Nothobranchius furzeri: one gene and its partners. The protein of the gene in region 3 purifies or fractionates together with the protein of the main gene of each other region. This does not show direct contact. Links are inferred from orthologs where the notes say so. Each region holds a gene or a part of one and is shown on either strand. Other genes may lie near its edges.

What was found. Proteins that work in one complex are often made in the same cells at the same time.
Region 1: the proteins of reps1 (region 3) and AP-2 complex subunit mu-A purify together in Homo sapiens (affinity purification with mass spectrometry; 3 studies listed by BioGRID and IntAct, counting the BioPlex papers as one, with this or other methods). This does not show direct contact. The link is inferred for Nothobranchius furzeri from reciprocal best matches to the Homo sapiens genes REPS1 and AP2M1.
Region 2: the proteins of reps1 (region 3) and bmp2k purify together in Homo sapiens (affinity purification with mass spectrometry; 3 studies listed by BioGRID and IntAct, counting the BioPlex papers as one, with this or other methods). This does not show direct contact. The link is inferred for Nothobranchius furzeri from reciprocal best matches to the Homo sapiens genes REPS1 and BMP2K.

Annotation. Positions count from the first base shown.
Region 1 is NC_091751.1:56,897,473-56,904,813, forward strand, and holds part of AP-2 complex subunit mu-A, read left to right. Parts: intron 1-788; 5' UTR 789-836; coding exon 837-910; intron 911-3,524; coding exon 3,525-3,790; intron 3,791-3,991; coding exon 3,992-4,074; intron 4,075-4,495; coding exon 4,496-4,631; intron 4,632-4,942; coding exon 4,943-5,087; intron 5,088-5,611; coding exon 5,612-5,731; intron 5,732-5,916; coding exon 5,917-6,052; intron 6,053-6,137; coding exon 6,138-6,235; intron 6,236-6,348; coding exon 6,349-6,460; intron 6,461-6,821; coding exon 6,822-6,956; 3' UTR 6,957-7,341.
Region 2 is NC_091750.1:39,726,534-39,733,513, reverse strand, and holds the end of bmp2k (BMP-2-inducible protein kinase), read left to right. Parts: intron 1-2,883; coding exon 2,884-4,169; 3' UTR 4,170-4,484; downstream 4,485-6,980. Other genes in the region: paqr3a (progestin and adipoQ receptor family member 3a), read right to left, coding at 5,962-6,104, 6,218-6,308, 6,375-6,572. UniProt on the Homo sapiens protein: May be involved in osteoblast differentiation.
Region 3 is NC_091742.1:12,195,979-12,204,570, forward strand, and holds the start of reps1 (ralBP1-associated Eps domain-containing protein 1), read left to right. Parts: upstream 1-3,575; 5' UTR 3,576-3,898; coding exon 3,899-4,051; intron 4,052-5,783; coding exon 5,784-5,907; intron 5,908-8,099; coding exon 8,100-8,347; intron 8,348-8,592. UniProt on the Homo sapiens protein: May coordinate the cellular actions of activated EGF receptors and Ral-GTPases.

The sequences.
Region 1 (7,341 bases), on a different chromosome or scaffold from region 3:
TAACGTTTTAAACAAACCATACAGGGAAAAGATTATACATCGATGGTAGAAAAATATATAAAATGTATGAACATTGGTAAATGGCCCGAGTGAGCAGACATCTTGACTAAACCGATAAATGTACGATTCAGGTTTGGTGCAGGGTTTAATCGGTCACGACTGCTAGTAGTAATTTGTTTAAGAAAATTCTCAACACTCTCTATAAAAGTGTTTCAGTTATGCCTTCTAGGAATGCCATGGATGTCCTTTTTCCATCCTAAATTTTCTAGAAGCAGCATTTTTTAAACTGGCAGTTTTATTAGTAAAATACACTTAATTAAAAAAAACTTACATCCCCACGGGGATAAAAATGGTACATTTCGGATGTTAGTCCTACCAGGTCTAGGTAGGGTTTAGCGGACTATGATGATCTCAGATTTATATCTTTATCTGGTAGCATCCTACCCCAAACCGGTGGCTGCTGCTAATCTGTTAATCTTATTTGGAAGTGTGTGTGTGTGTGTGTGTGTGTGTGTGTGTGTGTGTGTGTGTGTGTGTGTGTGTGTGTGTGTGAGAAAGAGAGAGGTGAAGCTGCCTAAAAAGCTGGTGCAGCTATGCAAATGAGTGATTTAATAAAGTCACTAATGGTGTAGTGCAGCTGCAAGAGAGTGTGTGAGTGAGAGAAACAGGAAAACGGATGCGAGGGACAAGTGCCTCTCTGTACTGTGGGTGACTTTTACTTTACACTGCTTTTACTTTCCTATCTCCCCTTTTCCTTCCCAAATTTCAATCTTTTTTTTTATCCTCAGGAGGGGTTTGGTTTCATCATGGCAAGTTGGGATTGAGAAGCATTCACAATGATTGGAGGATTGTTCATCTACAACCACAAGGGAGAGGTTCTCATCTCCCGCGTCTACCGAGATGACATAGGGTATGTTTCTCAGACATTATGTGCGATGATAATCTTGTGGGTGGACTGTTTAGGTTTGATTCTGGATGAGAGGATTATTATGGGTTTCTGTTTAGCTAAATTAGTGTTTGGCATGTTTCTGCAAAGAAACAACACAATTTTATTGTCTGAGGCAATGATTTGCTTCCCTTGTGCTTATCATAAACCACACCTTCAAATTAAAAGATTAGACGCAGCTGTGTGGAATGCTCAAATTCAAATTGGCTTCACTGCCAGTTTCCTCATGGTGGGATAGTATTTGAATTATCATTTTCTTCTTCTGACCAAGTAATTTATTTGCTAAAATGTGTTCCTTTTCTTCTTTTTTTTTTTTTTGCCTCAATACATTTGTGTTTGCAAATACACTTGACTACACTTGTGATTTTCTCACTCTTGTAAGTCAAACTGTTTAATGCAAAATAGACCTTTCTGTATTGATGATTAATATTGAATGCATTATTTTATACAATGCTATGGTTAATATTTTACTTTGTTAGCAAAATATATAAATAATTATTTCTGCTGTAATCATTTACACTAAACGAAAAGAGGCGTGTCTGTGAGCAGAATATCTTATTGCTGCATCTGTGGTAAATTTAATTAATTTGTTCACCTTTGCTCTTTTAAATGTCTGAGTTCATTAGAGCAGGGGTTCCCAAATTGGGGGTCTGGGCCCCCAAGGTGTCCCAATAAGATTACTGGGCATTTTCTTAGCTGAGGTTGGCAAGATTTTATTTGTAAAAAAAAAAAAATTACATTTAGAAAATCATGGTAACACACCCTACAGTATAATCAGAACTCCATATAAAAGTTTGTAAATGATCACATTAATGTGTAATGCATGTTGGGGTTGGGGTCCTGGCTTGTCTTGGACATGGGCTATGGGGTCCTCAAAGGAAAGACTTGAACTCCTGCATTAAAAATTTTATTATGAAAGGTTAAAACATGTAATGAAACCCATGCTGGATACTTATTCTGAAATGTGGTTTAAAAACGGAGCTGAGTCATCACAACCAGTGCTGAGCAGCAATAGATGGAAAAATGTAGCCACTCACTTTTTTTTAATTTCATTCATTTTACAAAAAGGCATTGCTGTGTTAGGGCAAATGTAAGGTCTGCACTGCTCTTGTGCAACGTGTTATGGATATGATCTAAGTAGAATTTCCACCTTGCTTTCCCAGAATAAACATCTGCTCGTGTGTGTGCTTTCACCACTGTGTGTTGTACAAAATTCCACTGAACCCAAAAAAGAAAAGAAAATTAAAACACCCGCTCATTTTATTTTCATTGCATTATGCTGGAAAAAGCATAGTTGTGTGAATCCATGAATTTCATAGCTTATTGATGTTGCTTCAGTAGTTTTCGTAGGTATTCGTCCCCCTGGCTGCAGCAGCAGTGTAACACAAACCAGATGTTTTAGGTTTGCTCCTTGACCGCTGCATTAAATTCCTCATGCCTCTGTAATTGTGTGTAAATTAACTAGCATGTTTTTATCAGTCTGAAGCTGTTTGCCCTTTCCCTCCTGTACCTAATTGTGAAAATAGCACCCTAATAATAAACACCACGTTACTCACTCTGTCTACATAATGCACAAAAATGTCAATTGTACATTTTTGTCTCTCCTTTCTGTTTACCTCATCCCTTTTCTCCTATCTCTATCACCTCTCCCATCTGTTTCATCTTGGCCCATGTAGGAATAGGTAAGAGCTGCTGCAGCGTTTAAAGCATGACCCCCTCTCCCCCTTTCTCATGGCCTCAGATCAGTCACCCCATGAACCTTAAACCGCATGCCTTGGTCAAATACCCAGCAGTTCCTGTAAGCATGAGTCCTTACAGCAGTAAATAAATGGCTTTGTACTGAAATGCAGCAGATTAACTCAGATCTAAGAATTTATTTTCAGTTAATGTCAGCAGGAAATATTGTTGCTAAATCAGCTGTTCTGGTATCCCAGCATGGAGTCTGAGCATGGGATCTGATAATTCCATTTTCTCTCGGAAATCTTTGGTATAGTTTGAGGTTTTACTTGTAAAGGTGGCCTTTTGAAAACGTTTTCATACACAGGAGGTAATCAGGTCATCGATCAACAGTTTTAATCTGTGGTGCATTTGTTGGTTTATCTCAGACCCTCGTCAGAGCCATCCTTGCACTGAGCCCCAATTTTTGCTACAAAATAGTTTTTTCCAAATCTAAATAAAGATGACATTTGGAGAGTTTGTGATTAAAGTACATGATATAAACATGTTTTCTTTCCTATGACTCCTCCAAATCTAGGGAATGATAAGTTTTTATTTTCTCTCTCTGTGAAGACTATCACAGTTTACACCAAACACTCTAAATGCACCAGCCCAGAACGTCCCGCTTTTGCTGCTTGGATTTTGATATTTGCCTCCTTGAGAAATAAAAACAAGGGCATGTTAGTGAGGAGCGGGGGAGTTATTTCCTTTTTAATGTTAAACTTTATATTAGCCCCGCTCTGCAGCCTTTTTTTATTTCAGAGATCGTAAAATAATCCGCTCTAATGTTGACAAGCATATGATTGGCTTTAAAGTCCAACCTAAATGTTTCTTTCTGTCTCACCCCTGCTCGTCGTTGCAGGCGGAATGCCGTGGACGCGTTCCGCGTGAACGTGATTCACGCCCGGCAGCAGGTCCGGTCGCCGGTGACCAACATCGCCCGCACCAGCTTCTTCCATGTCAAGCGCTCAAACATATGGTTGGCAGCTGTGACCAAGCAGAATGTCAACGCTGCCATGGTGTTTGAGTTCCTTTACAAGATGTGTGACGTCATGACTGCCTACTTTGGCAAAATCAGCGAGGAGAACATCAAGAACAACTTTGTGCTCATCTACGAGCTGCTGGATGGTAGGAGACGATCCTGGAGTCTATTAGTCATATAATAAACATTTTGTAGGACTGCTGGACTTACACATGTCTGGGTGTAGAAAAAAAGCCTAATGTTCTGTTAGTCAGTCAGCACCGGCTACTCCGTGTACTTCATGTTCTAGTTTTCTCTACACTAGTCTTTTATCGCTAACCGCTATCTACTGGTGTTTGTTTATTCAGAGATCCTGGACTTTGGCTACCCCCAGAACTCAGAGACCGGAGCCCTGAAGACCTTCATCACCCAGCAAGGCATTAAGGGACAAGTAAGTACAGTGTTTGCCCCCGACTGATGTAGAGCTTTCAGTTTGATGTTTTTGTAGAAGATAACCTAGAAAAGTGGTGTTCAGATGAACTAAATTCACTCTAACCTGAAGCGATGAATAGTTTAAAGACAATCTGGTGGTGGAAATGTTTATTTTTGTATCTGATTCTAGTAAACTTTACATGTGGTTAATTTGTATGAATATTAAATGTGTGTTTGTTTGTGTGTGTGTGTGTGTGTGTGTGTGTCATTGTTTCCCTCGTCTGCGGTTTTTGGACCATTCAGCACCAGGTAATGTTGAAAGTTTTGTAAAAAGTCGTGTTTTCATGTGTTTCCACTCTCTGTCATCCTCTGATCATCATCATCCTTGTGTGGAAGTTTTGCTCTTTGTTCCTGATCCAGTTTCTGCTCCTGTTTCTCAGACAAAAGAGGAGCAGTCTCAGATCACCAGCCAGGTGACGGGCCAGATCGGCTGGCGTCGTGAGGGCATCAAGTATCGCCGCAATGAGCTCTTCCTGGATGTACTGGAAAGTGTTAATCTGCTCATGTCACCTCAAGGTCTGTTTATGTCCTCTAAAGACGTCCCTGACTGCTAACATAAAAAGATCCGAGGAAATGTTGACATTCAGAGACGTCTAAATGACTTGCTATCAAGTTTTGCCATGAAGGTCGACTAAAACTAGTTGAAGACTTTTTGATCGTGTTTACTTCTGCAGCTTTAAACAGAGATGGTACTGTAGAATAATTTTAGTATTTCCACAGTTTTAGACCTGAATTAAAAAGTCCTATTGTGCAGAAACGCTGTCTAAATATGGTGGAACCTGTCCCAGCGGTGTCCAGATGTTGATCCTCTCACTCCTTCCATCCAGGCCAGGTCCTGAGCGCCCACGTGTCGGGCCGTGTTGTGATGAAGAGCTACCTGAGCGGAATGCCGGAGTGCAAATTCGGCATGAACGACAAGATCGTCATCGACAAGCAGGGCAAGGGAGGAGCGTCCGACGATGCAGGGAAAAGGTGAGTGATGCGTGAGTGAGGAGGCAGGCGCTTTGGTCAAACGTGCTTTCATAAGGAGGGACATAAATTATGACTTTGCTTTTCTTGTCTAAATAGTTCTGTCCTTGAGCTCCGACTAAGAAATTCTTTTGTCCTTTTGTTTGCTCTCCTTTTGGATGGCTCTCTGTCTTTTATCCTTTCTTTACTTTGTGCTGTACCACAGTGATTTAGGGGGAGGAAGGTACGATAGCAACAAGGTTCCTCTCCCTCCACCGCTTCATTCTCCTCCTGTGTTCTGCCCAGTAACTGTTTCATCATCCCTAACCGTCCTAGTTCACTCTTTACCCATCATCATTTACTGTAGTTTTGTAGTAATAATTTAATCCAGGTTCAAATGTTGTCTTCTAGCAGCCATGTCTTTGTACTTAAGTATACTGGTGGATATCCAGAGAGTAGATTTTATCTGTAGATTGGAAAAGGATAGTTAAAATCCAGACTAGTAACAAGTTAGTTGGTGTGTCTGATGCATCTTCTGTCCTCTTCAGTGGGAAGCAGTCCATAGCCATTGATGACTGCACTTTCCACCAGTGTGTGCGTCTCAGTAAGTTTGATTCTGAGCGCAGCATCAGCTTCATCCCTCCTGATGGAGAGTATGAGCTCATGAGGTCAGTAATGGTAGTAGATTATTAGAGCCTAAAGCATCCATGAATGTCTGCTCTGATAGATCCTGCTGGGTTTTTATTTATTTTTTTATTTTTCCACTCATTCAAAATTTTGGTGGATTGATAATTCCCCCCCCCCCCCCCATTTATTTTTATTAATTTACTTTTTAAATGTATGTATTTTTCAGATATCGCACCACTAAGGACATCATCCTGCCGTTCCGAGTTATTCCTCTGGTCAGGGAGGTGGGTCGCACCAAACTGGAGGTTAAAGTGGTCATCAAGTCCAACTTCAAACCTTCGCTGCTGGCTCAGAAAATTGAGGTCAGCAAACACATTTTTACATTTTTGATGAAATTCTTTAAGTTTTGACTTCACTGGTAAATATCTGGGCTAATTCTCTCCTCAGGTGCGAATTCCAACACCCCTCAACACTAGCGGTGTGCAGGTGATTTGCATGAAGGGAAAAGCCAAATACAAGGCCAGTGAGAACGCCATAGTCTGGAAGTGAGTTGGAGCTTAGATTAAATTTAATTAACAATCTGAACTCGATGTTTAACCTCTCAAGTATTCCTGTGTGGGAATGTTTCCTTTGTGAAGCTACAAGTTTGCATTTGCAGGATCAAGCGGATGGCTGGGATGAAGGAGTCTCAGATCAGTGCTGAGATTGAGCTGCTGCCTACCAACGATAAGAAGAAATGGGCCAGGCCTCCCATCTCTATGAACTTTGAGGTAAGCGCAGCACAGTCCAGTCTGTCCTCCTTTAAGCTGTCACAGCTTAAGAGCTTCCTAATTTCAGTCGGATTCAAAGTGAACTTTTCTCTTCCAGCTGATGTTTCTAAAACTATATTTATTCTGTGAACAGTCACAGACATAGATAATAATAAGTTAGATATTTCCCAGCTTCTCCTGGTGGCTGAGACTGTAATGTGGTGTTGGCAGCCAAACAAATGGACTCTGGGTTAAATCAGATCCCAGTATTTGCTAAGAAACTTAAAAGCCGTTTAGTGTTAAACAAACTCAGAGCTTCGGTGGTGGGTAAACAGAGCAGCCCGCCTGTCCTAACATGTTCCAACTTCCCTCTCCTCTCCAGGTTCCTTTCGCACCCTCTGGCCTGAAGGTGCGCTACTTGAAGGTGTTTGAGTCCAAGCTCAATTACAGTGACCACGACGTCATCAAATGGGTGCGGTACATCGGCCGCTCCGGCATCTACGAAACCCGCTGCTGAAGTTCAGCCCCGCCAGGCAGCAAACTGACCACTTCCCTCCCATCTTTCCTGTCATTTTATTCTTCTTTCCTCCTCCTCCGTCTTTGTTCCTCCCTCTGTCCTTATCACTTTTCTCCTTCCCCATCATCCCTTCTTAACTAGGTGTCGGAGATTGAATTTACATCGTTTAAAAGAAAAACAAGTAAATATGGTGTAATTCAGATATATGCAAAATGTGAACCATTGTATCGTATATATCTAGTAGTGATGAGTAAAAAATGTAAACCATCTGGTGTCCGAATGAAAAAGACAAGTGATGCCGGGTCTCAGGGGGAGAGGGCGGGAGCTTTGTGTATCCAGTGTTATCGTTCTTCTTTTCTCCGATATAGAAATCCCACGTCAGTTA
Region 2 (6,980 bases), on a different chromosome or scaffold from region 3:
AGCTAAGCAAGGATGTGTGGAATCAGCTGGGGCTATCCGGGCGGTGTGGAGCTGATGCTAGTGGGAAAGGGACAAAAGTGTCTTGCCCAAGAACACAACAGCAGCATTCTCTGCTCAAAACTGGGATGGAACCTGCAACCTTTTGATTACTGGACAGCCCGCTCTACCCCCTGAGCTACTGCTGCCCCAGATAAAAGAAAAATATCTGTTTGTATTTTAAAGGTTGTTTACAGTTGGAGTGCACATACGTGCACGTGGCTGAACTCTGCAACAAGCGTCTGCGCCTCTGCGTCTTCCTGTAAATACGAGTCTGCTTTCATTCAGCTAGGATCGGTAAAACCATGCAATAAACTCTAGAAGCACCTGACTGTTGACCAAAACTAAAGGAGACAAACGGAGTTTCATTCCTGCTGCCTGGAAGGAATCAACGTCTTCGTCAGTCGTTCTGTTTTTATCCAATCGAGATGTTTGTGGCTCTTCAAACACAGAGCATACAGACGTGTTTCAACACCCACTGCCGACATGCTCGGTGCTTGAAGAACCACAGGAATCGGATTGTTTTTAGTTCCTTGTGTGTTTTTCTCAGCCTTATGTTTGTTTCCACGAGTGTGCTGTTGGTTTCCTTCAGATCAGAGCTGCTTTACCTGGATCCAGTTAGCATCAGAGCTGCTTTACTCAGATCCAGTTAGCATCAGAGCTGCTTTACTCAGATCCAGTTAGCATCAGAGCTGCTTTACCTGGATCCAGTTAGCATCATGGAGCCAACAGATTCGAAACTAATTGACACGCAACTGATTATTATGGGAAAGCTAATAATATTAAACTCCTATTTAGCCAAAATAGCTGAGATCTTAGAGGTTTCTGTAAATTTGGACCAAAATGTTGTAGAAAAGCTGCCAAACAAAAAGTTCCGAGTTTATTTATGTAACTGAAAAATCTGATTCAACAGTATTCAAGTCTGAGCTTTAGTGACCTCTAGTGGAGATTTTGTGTCCACGTCCCACCCAGATGGTCAGGACTGTCGGCGGCTGGGTGGGATGGCTGGGACACAGGAAGTTAAAGTATAAAAGTCTTTAGATTTAAGCTCTGGAACTTGGATCCCTCTTGGGGGTTTTCAAAGTAAAATCAACATAAAATGATTATTTTTTTTAAAGTGGACTTTAATGTTAGTTTAACTAAATGATGTAAATGTTGGGAAAAAAGTTTTATTTTAAGAAATGTTTAATTCGGCTGCAAAACTAAACGTGACCTGCTTTAGGTCCCAAATAAGAGTCAGAGGTCAGCCCTGAGCCCTCATTCATCACATTTAACTGGGTAGCGTTTAGCTGAAGGTAAGTTGAACCCCCCTCACCACCCGCTTTTATGGGTTTTCCTCCGTGAGGTCACAGCCATCCTCAGAAACATCTTGTTTGTGTTTTTGGGCGACGCAGCTCCAGCTGGGACAAACTCGAGCCATGAACCTTTAAAGCCCTGCTGGCGGTGCAGAAACGTCATTCACGTCCCAAAGAAAAACCTCGTTTACCTGCTTTTATTTTAGAGTGTAATCTGGTTTCAGTACAGGTCAAATTTGAACCCTTCTCACAATAAAATATTGAAGTTTTACTTGAAGTCAGACAGAAGCAACAGATCACTAACCTGTCTCTCACGTGTAAACGGTCCTGTATCATAACTGTTGCTGTGAATGTGTTTCTCTAGTGTTGATAAATAAACATGTAAAATCAATCACTTTGGGTGTTTTTATTTACTTAGAAGCTGTTGACTCCAACACAACAAGATGTTCCTGGTTTGGCTGTCCCAGTTCCTCGTCCTGTTTAGCCAGCTGACGCACAAGAGTCCCGTTTCTCCAGCGGTTTAGTAAAACTATTTTAATTAGAACGTTTTAGTGGTTAAACCTGCAGTTTTAGAGCAAAATAACCATGCAGATGTACATAAAGACTTAAAAGTTGTAAACCCTGATTTATGACTCAAATCTTTATTGGATACAGAAAAGATTTTAAAAGCACTGCTGATTCAGTCCTGAACACCAAACGGCAGCATGTGGGGGTAAAAAAGCCGTTCCTGGGTCTGAGATGAGCTCTCCTCAGCAGATCATCGGGCTGAACAGAACCAGAGGATTTGTGTTTGTTTGGGATTTCTAAGATTAAAGGAAATGTTTGCCTCTGGCTGATGGAGAAGAAAAGATTAAAGAAAACCGTTTTCTCTTGTGGGTTCAGGAGGCTGAACGCTTCAACAAGCCCAGAGGAGAAGCGATCCTGATCTCCACAAGTCAGAGATGATTTTATTTGGTTTATTTTTTATGTCCACTCGTCTTCTGCCAGAGCCCAGGCAGCGTGCAGTCAGTCTCCTCCCAGAGGACGACGTCTGATTATTAAGACGTCTCTGGAGTCGCGAACGGGAATAGGAGCTGTAATCTGTGATCCGAACATGCTGGTTTGTATTCAGATCTTTTTATGCTTCATAGCTTCTCTTGGCTGATTCCTGGTGTCGTCCTGCCAGTCAGGATGAAAAGGTTCCCGTCTCCGTGTTCACAGCAGGGGTCTCCTGATTCAGAGCTCCCTCTAAACTCAAATTGGCTTCTTTAGTTTCAATACAGTTGGAGACGCTCCACCTGCTAATTAGGCTCATTTTAGGTTTATTCAAATCTCCCGGACATAAATAACAAGATACTTTGTAAATTAAACACCTCCAACATGCAGAAATTAGACCGGAGCAGGAAGGACAAGTCTGGGCAGACGACCCGAGTCGGTGCTTCCATTTTTTTTAAGGGATATTTTGAGTTTTAAAAGGCATCTATGTCCTCGACCTTTAAGCTCGTTCTTCCCACCGCGCAGAGTACGCCACGCACATACACACACAGGTTAACAGTTTCTGGTGTTCCTGCAGGAGCCGGCGTGATGAAGAGTGAGCAGAACACAGAGGTTCCTGAGGGTCCGGACGCAGCCAAAGAGGCCAAGCCTTGCAGAAAAAGCATCTCTAAACCTGGGGAAGAGTCAGAAAGTGACTTTGAGTCTGACCCACCATCTCCGAAGAGCAGCGAGGAAGAAGAGCAGGAAGAGGAGGCCTTGAACAGTGAGCATGGTGAGGACACGGAGCCGGAGAACCTGGGACAGCGTCCCCTGCTGATGGACTCTGAGGAGGAGGATGAAGAAGACAAACACAGCTCGGACTCAGACTCCGACCTCAGCCGGGTCAAGAGCCGCTCAAAGAAGCCCAGAGGAGCTACAGAAGCTGCTTCCAGGTCTCCGCAGGGCATGAGTCTGATCACCCCCCCTGTGTCTCCCAGCAGAGCCACTGTGTTGAAGGACGTGGATGTCTTTGGTGCTGTTCCCTTCCTTGGAGGAAGTTCGCCTGTCGGACCCTCAGAGAGTACTGACATCTTCTTCAAAGCACCTTTCAGGCAGGTTGGCCATGACCAGCCGGCAGCTGATGATTTTGATGTTTTTACCAAAGCACCGTTCAGCTGCAACCTCTCCAAGTCTGGAAAGAGCAGCGGCGACGTTCCCATGGGCCAGACGCCTCCCATGTCCCCGGACAGCATCGATGTCTTTGGCTTCTCCCCTTTCCACCCGGGCCCTACTGAAGCTCCTCCTACCACCTCAAAGAGCGCAGATGACATATTTCGCTCATCTTTTGAGGATCTGGCCACTCAGCAGCAGAGGCTGAAGCAACGCAGCCTCCAGAAGTTGTCATCACGACAACGGAAAACAAAACAGGAAGTGACTGCAGGGGGCAGCAACGGGAAGCGGCATCACGGGACCCCAACCGGCGGACGCAAGAGCAACAAGCCGACGTACCGCACCCCAGAGAAGGTCCGGCGGCACAAGAAGGTCAGCCGCAGAGACTCTCAGAGCAGCAACGAGTTCCTGAGTGCCTCCGACTCGAAAGAGAACATCAGCGTTGACATCACTGTGGCTGAAGGCAAGGACAAGGCGGCGGCGGTGGACGATCCAGTCTTAGATCCGTTTGGGGCCAAACCGTTCCACCCCACGGAGAGCGGTAAGTCCTGGATGGGCTCGCATCGCAGCGGAGACAGCAGGTCCATGGATGATTTTGGGGCGGTGCCTTTCACAGAACTGGTCATCGGTAGCGGACCTCAACAGCAGCAGGTGGCGGCACCTCTAGTGGACCTTGACCCATTTGGAGCTGCACCTTTTCCCTCCAAGCCTTAACTTGTCTTCCTGCTCAGGTAGCTGATTAACCCGGACTTTGGTTCGGGATCATCTTTTTATTCTAACATGTTTTTAGCTTCAGCTTTACGCCTTTAGGAGCCCGAGACTGTGCTGTGATACGTAACTGCAAAAAGCTCTTCATGCTTCTGCTGCTTAAGCACCACGACGCCTTACCCCGCTGCACCGACCGCAGCTTTAACCACTTTAAGGGATTTCTGTCTGCAGCTGAATGTTTCTAGAAGGGAATCGGGAAACTTCTGTTTGGCTCTTTTTTTTATGAACAAAGGAAATAAAACATGAAGCAGATGTCTTCAACAGGTTGTGATTTACATGTTTTTTACTCTCGTCACAGGAAATAAAACAAGGTCTCAGAACATTTCAGAAGCGTAAATAATTTAAAAACAGAACCTTTGTTTTTACACCTAATAGAAGGAAAATGGCTTCATTCCAAAACGACCCTTAAACTCCTGCCTGGAGGGTTGTTCTGGCAGACTGAAGAACTTATTTACACGAGTCTATAAATATGTTGCCATGGTAACCACTTAGGTTTTACTGCAGCTAATAATTTAGACTACTGAATCTGTGATAAGCCCTTCACTCGTGGTACATTTATCATGTGTTTTATTTTAAAAATGATGGGATTAACCGATTCAGCCGGGATGCATCGTAGCTAAGCTCACAGACGTCAGCAGAACCATAACGATCTAAAGACTGATGATGACCAGCAGCAGAGCTCACCTGTGAAGGTTAAGCACCAGAAATGGTCTCCCTGCCAAACCACCACTGCACCCCCTAGTGGTTGTTTCTTCAAATTACATTTTTGGTTCTTTTTTGAAACACAGGAAAGGTTTCTCTTTACCTTGCTGACGCTGATGGTGGCATCACTTCCTACTCTTGTGTACCCGCGGGCAGCAGAGGGCGTTGCCTCCAGCCACCATCAGCTCAGAGGATGTTTGCAGCCGCAAACGAAACGTCAGCAAGGTACAGAGAAACCTTTCCTGTGTTTTAAAAAGAACCAAAAATGGGACGTTGGAACAAAGCTGCTGGTGAAACTTTCATAAATGCACCGTCAGACCCGTCGCTCAAAAAGCAAACACCTGCATCAGCTGATTCAGGTAAACCCACAGGGAGGGTCTCCTCAAACGCCAGTTTAAAGACTTTCTCAGAGACGAGTCCCCGTGGAGCAGAAACCACCAGCTGGCTTCACTACGGTGCCCAGCAAGGACCAAAATACATCCAAGGTCTTCAACCCTACCTGTTAAGAGTTGGTGGTGTCTCCCTACAGCAGCAGTACCCTAGCGGGTTCTGTAGAAACCAGCAGAACCATCCTGCATGTTGGAATGAAGCCATGACAACATCAGAAACGCTGCTTCCAGGCTTGTTCTGGGTAATTAAATGCTTGTAAGCTAAAGTAAGAGACGCAGCTGCGCCCTCTAGGGGCCAGGCTGCTTCTGGAGCTAACATATGAAACAGTCCCTTGATCAACACCTGGAACAGTGAAGCTTCAGCGTTGGTCAGCAGTCTGACCATGAAGCTAACCTTTGACCCTGGTCTTCTGGCCTGCTGATGGTTTCCTCCATCGCTGCAGACGATCTACAGCTCTTCTCTTACATCTGTTTGGGTGTATACACAAACTTCATGTGAAAACGGGACATTTGATCTGCTGCTGTTTGTGCAAAGCAAGAAAAGAAACCAGAAGGTTGTCACGCGGGTGTCCCGATGTGGAGTTAGAAATCAGCTGTTCACATAAACAATAACACGCTGCTCACCGTCCTGGTCCCCTGACGAGGAGCTATGAATGCTGGGAAGCTTCAGGACACGGCTGGCTGTGTCTGTACGCCATGATGAAGCCCGACGTCTGGTGCCACCAGTAAAACATCAGAACCAGCAGTAGGTGCCACACCTGGTGGCTGGAGCCCAGGTAGTTCAGCTGACCTGGAGACACGAAATAGAAGACTAGAGGTTCTGATGCTTAAACGTGCTGGGTGGGCCAGGTTCAAATAGAGGCTCAGGAGGTTAACATCCCATAATAATAAACCGGATCTCACCTGGGAAGTAACGCTCGGGAACTTTGGAAACATAAAAGACGAGCGCCAGCGCAGCGATGAAGTACATCCCCAGGACCCGCGGCACAAAAGCCTGCAGAGGAAATCGGGTCAAACCTCAGAGTCACAAAGCCGAGCAGGTGAAGGCGGTCCAGCTCACCTGGACCAGCTCCGAGGAGAAGCCTCCTGTGATGCAGATCCAGTGGACAGTGGGGACCAGGCCGTATCCGGCCACCGAGCAGAAGATGAGCGAGCGAAGCTGCTTCCACTGCTTGCTGAGGTAGAGAGGGTGGATCTGAGCGAAGAACACGGCCAGGATCATGGCCAGGACTGTCACCAGGTACACCTGCCGCAGGTACTGCAGACAACCAAGTCCAAACACACATCTACTCATAAGGACAGGGGTAGGAACTTCTCAGGCGTTCAGGGTAAAACGATTGAAGATCCTGCAGCTAAAGCGAGACGAGAGGAGTAAAACGGTTCCTTGAGAGTGTTGTTGGCCACGTTTCCTCTGCATGTGTTAAAACTCTCCTACTGTTTGACTTGTGATCACAGATCTGCGAGCGTGTCCTCAGATCTGTTCCTGATACTTAAACTTCTATAAGTAGCTGTGGAAAGTCTGGACAGCCTCGTCTCGTCCCTTCTGTCCGTTTGTGTGGATGCAGGCCTCCGTCCAGTCACACGTCCTCATGTGACGAGTCCTGCTGAATTTCACAGTGAATAAATTTGCACCCGGAACAAGGACCCGCGCAGCTCCAGCCAAATT
Region 3 (8,592 bases):
TAAAGTTGCAAATAAGAACTTCCAGTTAACTCTATCAAAAGCCTTTTCTGCATCTAGAGATAATATACTAGTTTCTATGTTTCTACTGTAAGAGAAATCTATCAAATTAAGTAATCTACATGAGTTAGTGGATGACTGTCTACCCTTGATGAAACCAGTTTGGTCAGGGTGTATTATGAAGGGGGTTACCTTCTCTAATCTTTTTGCCAGGGCTTTACAAATTATTTTGAGATCAACATTTCTAAGGGAAATTGGGTGATAGCTGGTAGGAAATGCAGGGTCTTTGCCTGGTTTTAACAAGAGACTGATATTGGCTGAATTCATGTTTGGCTGTAATCTCCACTCTCTTCGGTTTCCCTCACCATTCTGAAAAATATTGGAGCCAGAATTATCCAGAATTCTTTGTAGAACTCTGCTGGAAACCCGTCTGGACCTGGAGCTTTCCTATTCGTCATGGATTTAAGGGCTTCCTGGAGCTCCGCTGATGTTAGTGGCGAGTCCAGGACTGTAACTTAGCTGTCTGATAATTTAGGAAGTGTTATCCTGTCAAGGAACTCATCGATCTCGTTATCTGACGGGTTTATCTGTGGTGATTACAAAGTTTGGCAAAAGTCTCTGAAAGTGTTGTTTATTCTTTCAGGCTCATAAACTATATTCCCGGTTGAGTCTTTAACAGCAGCTATGGTAGTTTTCTCTTTATTAATTTTTAACTGGCTAGCTAAAAATTTACCTGATTTATTACTATGTTCAAAGTTTTCTATTCAAAGTCTTTGTGCTAAAAATTGTGTCTTTTTGTCAATAATTCCAAGAAGTTCTAATTTAGCTTTATGTAATTTGCTCATTAACTCTTCTTCTTTGGATGCCTCTAAAGACTTAATGATTTCTTCTAACTCCTGAATATGTTTGTTTTCTGTTTTTTCTTATGTGATGAGAAAGAGATTTTTTTACCTCTCATCACTGCCTTTCCTGCCTCCCAGAGAACAGATGCTGATGTTCCAGGCAGGTCATTATGTTCTAAATATAAAGCCCACTCCTTTTAAAAAAATTCTATAAAACCTTCGTCTTTAAGCAGTGATGTATTAAACCTCCAGTTTTTGCTTGATGGGATTGTCTTCTTGTTTACCAGAGTTAAAGAAACCGGAGCTTGGTCGCTGACAACTATGGGGTGTATCTCAGTGTCTGAAATGTCAGCCAACAATGAGCTGCTGACTAGAAAATAATCCAAACGTGAATGAGAGTGATGGACGTAGACTTTAGATAATCCTTAAAGCGTTAGTTTTATTTATTCCGCATCGAATGGTAGATTGAAGGCACCACGGGAGCTCATCTGACTTCATCGTGACACGAGCGAACACTAGTATCTATTTGTCTGTCTATCTATCTATCATCTATCTATCTATCAATCAATCTATCTATCTATCTATCTATCTATCTATCTATCTATCTATCTATCTGTCTGTCTGTCTGTCTGTCTGTCTGTCTGTCTGTCTGTCTGTCTGTCTAGAAAAATTTGCATTTTTTTCTTTAGCAAATTCTATGTTTAAAATATTTTCTTAAACACAACAAAACATCAGAAACTGGTCTTATTCTTAGTGACGTCTTAAGTTGTAAGTGCATAATTTTTGGTTATAGTTTAATATCTGTCATGTGAAGTAAAGTTAGTTTTACTAAGTTAGTTAGTAAATAGTTTCTGATGAATGTGCCTGCGATTACTTAAAGACTGTTTTAAGTCTGCTTTGATTGCTTGTACATATTGTAAATGAGAACAGTCCGTTGTCTTTATGTCTAATTGTTTTGTCTTGTATTATTTTTTTAATCTTACCTGTTTTTCTTTGATGTAAAGATGTGTCTGTTACTGCAACCTCTTGACCATATCGTTGTAAATGAGAATGAGTTCTCAATCGACTTGTCCGGACAAATAAATAAATAAAGTTCAGCTCTTATTTTGAAATTAGTCATCCGGGTCTCTACAGGCCAAACAGACTCGCGCTGACTCGGACCGTAGCGTGACATCGTAGCGAAGAAACAAAAGGTCCCACCGGAAGTATCCTGTTTTGATGTCAAAACAAAAGCACATAAAATGTGGAGGAGCTATCTTTCAGCAAATTTTACAGTTAAATGTTATTGATTTATGTCATCAGATAGTTCAGAAAAATTCTTAACTTACAAATCTGTGTTTATTCTTAATAATTAATCTTTTATATAATCATCACCATGCATTAATTAATGTTGCACTCAAGCAAACGATGAAGAATCACAAAATAAATATTTTATTTAAAACAAAACGGACCAAAGGATATTCAACTCTAATTTCCCTCTGGAATTAACTTTAATTTCCCTCTGGGATTAATAAAGAATTTTTGAATTGAATTGAACAACTACATTACACTTTGGCTAAATGCCACGTTGTTTTTAATCTTATAAACTAAAATGGGAACTGCTTGAGAAAGAATCAAACACACTAACAATGTCAAAAGAAGAAGCTAAGCTAAAAACTGTCACCATGTCGAGGAACTAACCTTTCCCCTTCCTTTTGTTGCAAACCACGTGAATAAAGAGACTCTAATTTCGAAAGAATAGTTAGATCACAAGTTTGATCTGTCATATTTTCTTTAAAGTGTGTGTCATTTTTTTTTTACTTTAGGACTTGAACAGTACATAATAGAAAACTCTTTATTGTCCCTCAGTGGGAAATGTTGGTGTCACAGCAGCAAACATTCACAAAGGAGCCAAATAAGAGTAAAAAATAACGAATAAAGGTTAAGTAAAATAAAAAAAATAAACAAGAAGAAAACACAAAAACATTTAAATCATTGAAAGTCCTCAAACATTAAAAAAATCTAAAAAAATAATAATGCACACACACACACACACACACACACACACACACACACACACACACACATATATATATATATATATATATATATGAAAATACTAATTTGCATGCACATATTGATAGCAGTGTATTCACAGCAGTATGGAAATTGGAACAAGCAAATAAATAGTTTTATTAGCAATTTTTCAATTACACTTTAATTTAGGTTTGGTGTTAGCTCATTTGATTAAAATTTACATAAAATTACCACAAAAACTATTATCACTTTTTTATATTTGAGTCAATTTCTGATTATTTTATGCAACATATAAAATGTGGCTTATTTAGGAAAATAAAACAGCCAGTGGCCGGTTAGGAAAATAAAACAGCCAGTGGCCGGTTTAGTATATGCACAGCTTTTGAAATTTTTATATTTTTGTCTGAACAAGTGCGAACATTATTTTTAAAGAGCTCTTCCGGAAGCCCAGTAGTAACTTCCGGTGACTTTTAAGTGATGGCAGGAATGGCCGCTATGATTACGAGAGGAAGAAGCTCCGAGACCCTGAAACTTTACTTCTAACGGCCCCGTGGAGGAATCTTTCTCCACTAGGATTTAGAAACACCCCGCCGCTGCGGATCGAGAGGGGACGAGACGCCGTAACGTAAGATTGGCACGGTTGGTGTCCAGATCGAGAAGGTGGACGCAGTTTACGACTTGGCAGTGCCGTTAGTGCGGCTGACTTTGATTCAAGGTAGCTGTTAGCTCTGACTGAGCCAGCTGTTGGCCACTTTGGCTCTGCTATCCAACAAGTTAACGAACTGTGTGAAAGCGTCCCTCGTTGGAATATTCGAGTTGGGCTTGGCGCTGTTTACTTGCACACAGCATTAGGAGCGTTTACGGAGACTGGGGGGCCACGCGACAACAACTCGATACGGTGTGTTGTGGACATTCTCACCGCTAACCTCATCGTTAGCTCGCTGAGTTGGGATCCTGAAGGCTCGCCCATTTTCGGATCCTGCCCCAGCCATTGGCTACGGGTAAATCAGCAGCCAACTCGTCCGGTCTCCAGGTTCACTACGATGGAAAGTCTAACGCTGAGTGATGTGGAGCAGAAATATTACTCGGACTTGTTCGTCTACTGCGACACGGACAACACCAAGAAAGTGGCATCCAACGGGAGAGTTCTTGACCTTTTCCGGGCGGCCCAGCTACCAAGCGAAGTTGTCCTGCAGGTAAGCTAACCAGAGCAGGTATCGGTTTTAAGCCGTTCTGACAACAAAGTAAGACTGAGCAGGAAACCTTGAGCTGTTAACAGATGAGGTATAAAGTTAGCCGTCTGTTAGTGACCTGAGGTTAGCTGGCTGGTTAGCAAAGCTGCGCAGCAACAGACACACCTTCTTCTGGCTAATGTTAGCATCTGTAGCTGCTAGTGGATCCTCTATCTGCTTCTCCTTCTGTTGTGTCTGAATCACTGCTGTTTTTTTATGTGGTCATATGAAAAGCAGAAGACGTGATATTCTCACCAATCCCGTGTCTGACATGCAGCAAAACAGACGGTGTGCCACAGCATGTAGCTTCTAATGTGATTTATGTGGTAAAGAGGGGTTTCAGGTGGGGCTGTAATACCCAGAGTTTAATCATTGAAGGCATCGTTTAACTGCTGTGTTTAATTGCAGTGTCACACAAATTCAGGTGTAAAAGGAAGAATGAATGAACCCACTTCTAAAAAAGCAAACTCTCTAAAAAGAAGCAAAACAATATTTCTAAAAAAATTGTGCAATTAATTTTGTACACAATAAAGCTACAGCTGTTTTTACTGAGTAAACCCACTGGACATTTTAGGATTTCGGTTGTTTCTGTCACTATCAGCCAAACTGATGTCATTTTCTTAGCTGAATCCCATCTTGAATCATTAATATTACAAAGCATTGAGAGCTGGTTTCAAGTGATCAAACTAATGATTAGTGTTGCAACACCCTGCAGCAATAATTGCGGCTGACACCACCCCGTTTCTGTCAGCGGTTTGTTTTTATACTAGTAGTGATGCCTTTCCTTTCGCAACTGTTCTTTTCACTCTTTCCTCAGACATTAACAGTTGATCTGTACTTAAATCAAACAGAAGCATCAGCCCTTGTTTAATCTTGTGCAGCAAATGAAGTTGCAACATGATCTTGGGTTGGGTGACCATAGGATGTAGCTGCCTCAAGTCGTTTCATGTGTGATAATCCCATCTCTGGCACTTATCTGAGTCATGAGCAGCCAGTTAAACTGCAGCGACCCGTTCTCGTGTCTCTCAGCAGTCCAGTATTTGCAGTTTGTGAGTCAGCATCCTTCAAGGTCAGCAAGTCGAGCTGTGTGGAGGAATCAGCCGGCGTTGTACTTTGACAGTACACACTGAGCTCAGTGTTGTTGGCCCATTAGACGCTACGCCGTGGCATGACTGGTGCTTTTTGTGCTCACACACTTCGATAAAGTCCTCTGTCAGCAGCAGGCAAGAAAGGCATCAGTCAGCTGTGGGAGTTCACAGTCCCGAGAGGCTGACACTTCATGGGTTAATCATCCACAGGTTGCAGACGTACTTGTCTTTCCTTTTTTATTTTCGTGAAGACATGATGATTTTTTAACTGTTTTTAAAGTTTCTCCTGTGTTTCCTGATGCTGTTGCGTCCAGCGGATCTGCTAATCGGCACAAAATGATTTAGAATGTGTGATGATCAGGCTTGTGGCTGCTCTCTGAAGTAAACGCTGTAAAACAGGCTGCTGCTCGGGCCACATTCAGAACCGGGACTAAGAGCTTTTGTCAGCTGTTTAGTGTTATGCTTGACATGAGAGAAGGGGACAGTTGATCCTAAAATACCATAATGCTACTTATTGAGAGTTGAACAGAAGCTGTCACAAGTTTGACTCCAGATGAAGACAATAACGTTAACAGTTCCTCGTGTGTGTGTGTGTGTGTGTGTGTTAGATCACAGAGTTATGTGGAGCCACTCGGCTGGGCCATTTCGGACGGAGCCAGTTCTACATCGCTTTGAAGCTAATCGCCATCGCCCAGTCTGGTCTACCCTTGAGGGTGGAAAGTCTCAATTCGGGTGAGTTCCTGTGTAAACCTCACCACTGCTCTACAGACCGATTCCCTTTGCTGGCATCTCAGGAACACAGCATGTGTGAACGGGCTGCTGGACTTGTGTGTTTACCTTTACAAAGAGAGGATTCAGATTTTTTTTTTTTTTTTTTTTTTACTGTTTCTGGACTTTGGAGTAATTTGGGCACAACAATAAGGGACAGGCATTTGTTTATGTTTATTTATTTGGCAGACGCTTTTATCCAAAGCGACTTACAATTTATAACCTATAGGGCATGTTGTGATCTGTGGGGGAAACCGGAGTACCCGGAAGAAACCCACGCATGCATGGGGAGAACACGCAACTCCATGCAGAAAGGCTGCAGCTGAGTTTTCGAACCTGCAACCTTTGTGTTGCAAGGCAACAGTGCTAACCACTGCACCACCATGCAGCATTTGTTGTCATCTTTAGTTATTATACGATACTGTAGAGGAGCAGGAGAAGTTAACCTAAACGGTTTGTGTTCATGGAATAAGCCGTTCAAGCAAGCAGCATTTTTAAAAACTTTATTTAAATTGTCCAACCCCCTTCCTTCAGGCTCCGCCCTTAAGCCACGCCTCCAGAATGGTAAATGGTAAATGTATTTGTATTTGATATAGCTCCTTCTAGAGTCCTGGAACCCCCCAAGGCGCTTTAATACAACACAATCAGTCATTCACCCATTCACACACACATTCACACACTGGTGGGGATGAGCTACGATGTAGCCACAGCTGCCCTTGGGCGCACTGACAGAGGTGAGGCTGCCGAGCACTGGCGCCACCGGTCCCGCCGACCACCACCAGCAGGCAACGTGGGTTAAGTGTCTTGCCCAAGGACCCAGCGACAGACTGAGCAGGGCTCGAACCTGCAACCTTCTGATTACGGGGCGAGCACTTAACTCCTGTGCCACCATCGCCCACATCCAGAATGCAGGAGAATGCTGGATGCAACAGATGCTGTCAAGCAACCAAAAACATAACCTTATCTTACCTTTTTGCCCTGTCGTCGGCACCTTTTCTGGCATAATTCCCAACATAACACACCCACATAACCGCCACGTAGCCCCCAGGCGCCTGGCGACTCCTCGTAATCCGGCGTCCATCAGGGGTTCTTCACTGAAAGCTTAGAACAGAGAATCTACTGGGAACTAGACTGGCGATCCAGTGGGGAGCACTGGATTTATTACACTGGAAACCTCTGCTACTTCAGCTCAGGCTACATACCTGTATAACAATTTAGCATGCTAGCTAATATAGGTAGCCAGACTCTGGCTTCACTTCCTGTGTAGCTGCTCCAAGCCAAGAATGTGCAGTTTGTGCACATAGAGGGGTGTGTGCAGAGGAGGAGGGATGGTCAAAGGGCAGTTTGATGGATGGATCAGGATCCAATCCTTAAGAACGGGACGTCCACAGTGATTGGATGTGGTATTTCCAGGATTGTACATTTGCCGTTGGTATGACGAGCATTTCAACAGTGTGGCAAAAATTCCCCGGGAAAACATCTCCTGCACCTGGATAAAACCATTCACGCTGGACCTGCTCTAATCACCTGGAGACACACAACGAGCTTACCTGGGCTCACAAGCATCGTTTGATCAGTGGACCAGTTTGATTGGTTAATGTCGGCCATGTTTCTGCATATTTGGCATTAAGAAGTCACTCCTCACTAGATGATCTGAGTTTGTAAACATAGAGACGGGAAGGTTTTAGCTTAATGTCACTCTCGCGCTGCCCACAGCGGCCAGGAACTATTTCACATGATGAAATATTTGATACCACATTTGGAGGTCGAGAGGCCGCTTCCTCCTGCATCGTGGAGACGTACAGTGTTGTGGATTTTGGTTTAGAGACCGAATTCAAGCCTTCCACTCCTTAAAAACCATTATTTACACGTTGAAGTCTCCACCGCAGCAACATCACAAGTTTAAGTTCCATGTTTTGTGTGAGGTTCGACTTTGTAACCCAGCAGTAACGAGCTGAACAGACCTGTTTGTTTCATTTTGAGGAAGCAGCTGTGACCGTCTTTATGAGCTATAATCCCATCATCTGATTACAGCAGCTCTCTCTCTCTCGGCTGCAGAGAGTCAGAGTACCCCAAATGCTGACAGCTTCTGTGTCTTTTGCAACGATTTGATTAGGAAGCGTTGTGAATAATTATTTTATTTTCTTCCTCGTCAGTCAAGGATCTGCCGCTGCCCAGGTTCGTGGTTGGGAAGAACGAGGCTGAAGCGCGACACGCTGCTCTGTACCAGGATGCAGAGAGCCAGGGTCTGTACCCACCCTCCAGTATGGCGGTGATTCCCAGACCACCGGGCAGAGGTCACCAGAACAAGAAAGGTCCCCCCTCCTCTTCCTCCTCCTCCTCCTCTGCTTCACATCCTGCCCTCGAGGTCATCCAGCCTCTGGCACCGAGTGTAGAAGCTCAGGTTGGTGCTGCTGCTGTTTAAAAACACGCCTCTTATCTGTGTGGATGATTTCCTGGTTTTAGGAAAGGAAAAGATGCTTTTATTCATACGTTAGGGAACGAAGTGGAGCAGCTGCTGCAGTTCTACTTCCTGTTGCTTTCCAGTGGTCAGATGGGTTTTCTGCTGCTCGCTTTACTCGGGTCTTTCTGCATTTTGTTGTGAAATTCTGTCTTGAAGGTCCCTCGTGTGTTTGGAGCAGACATAAC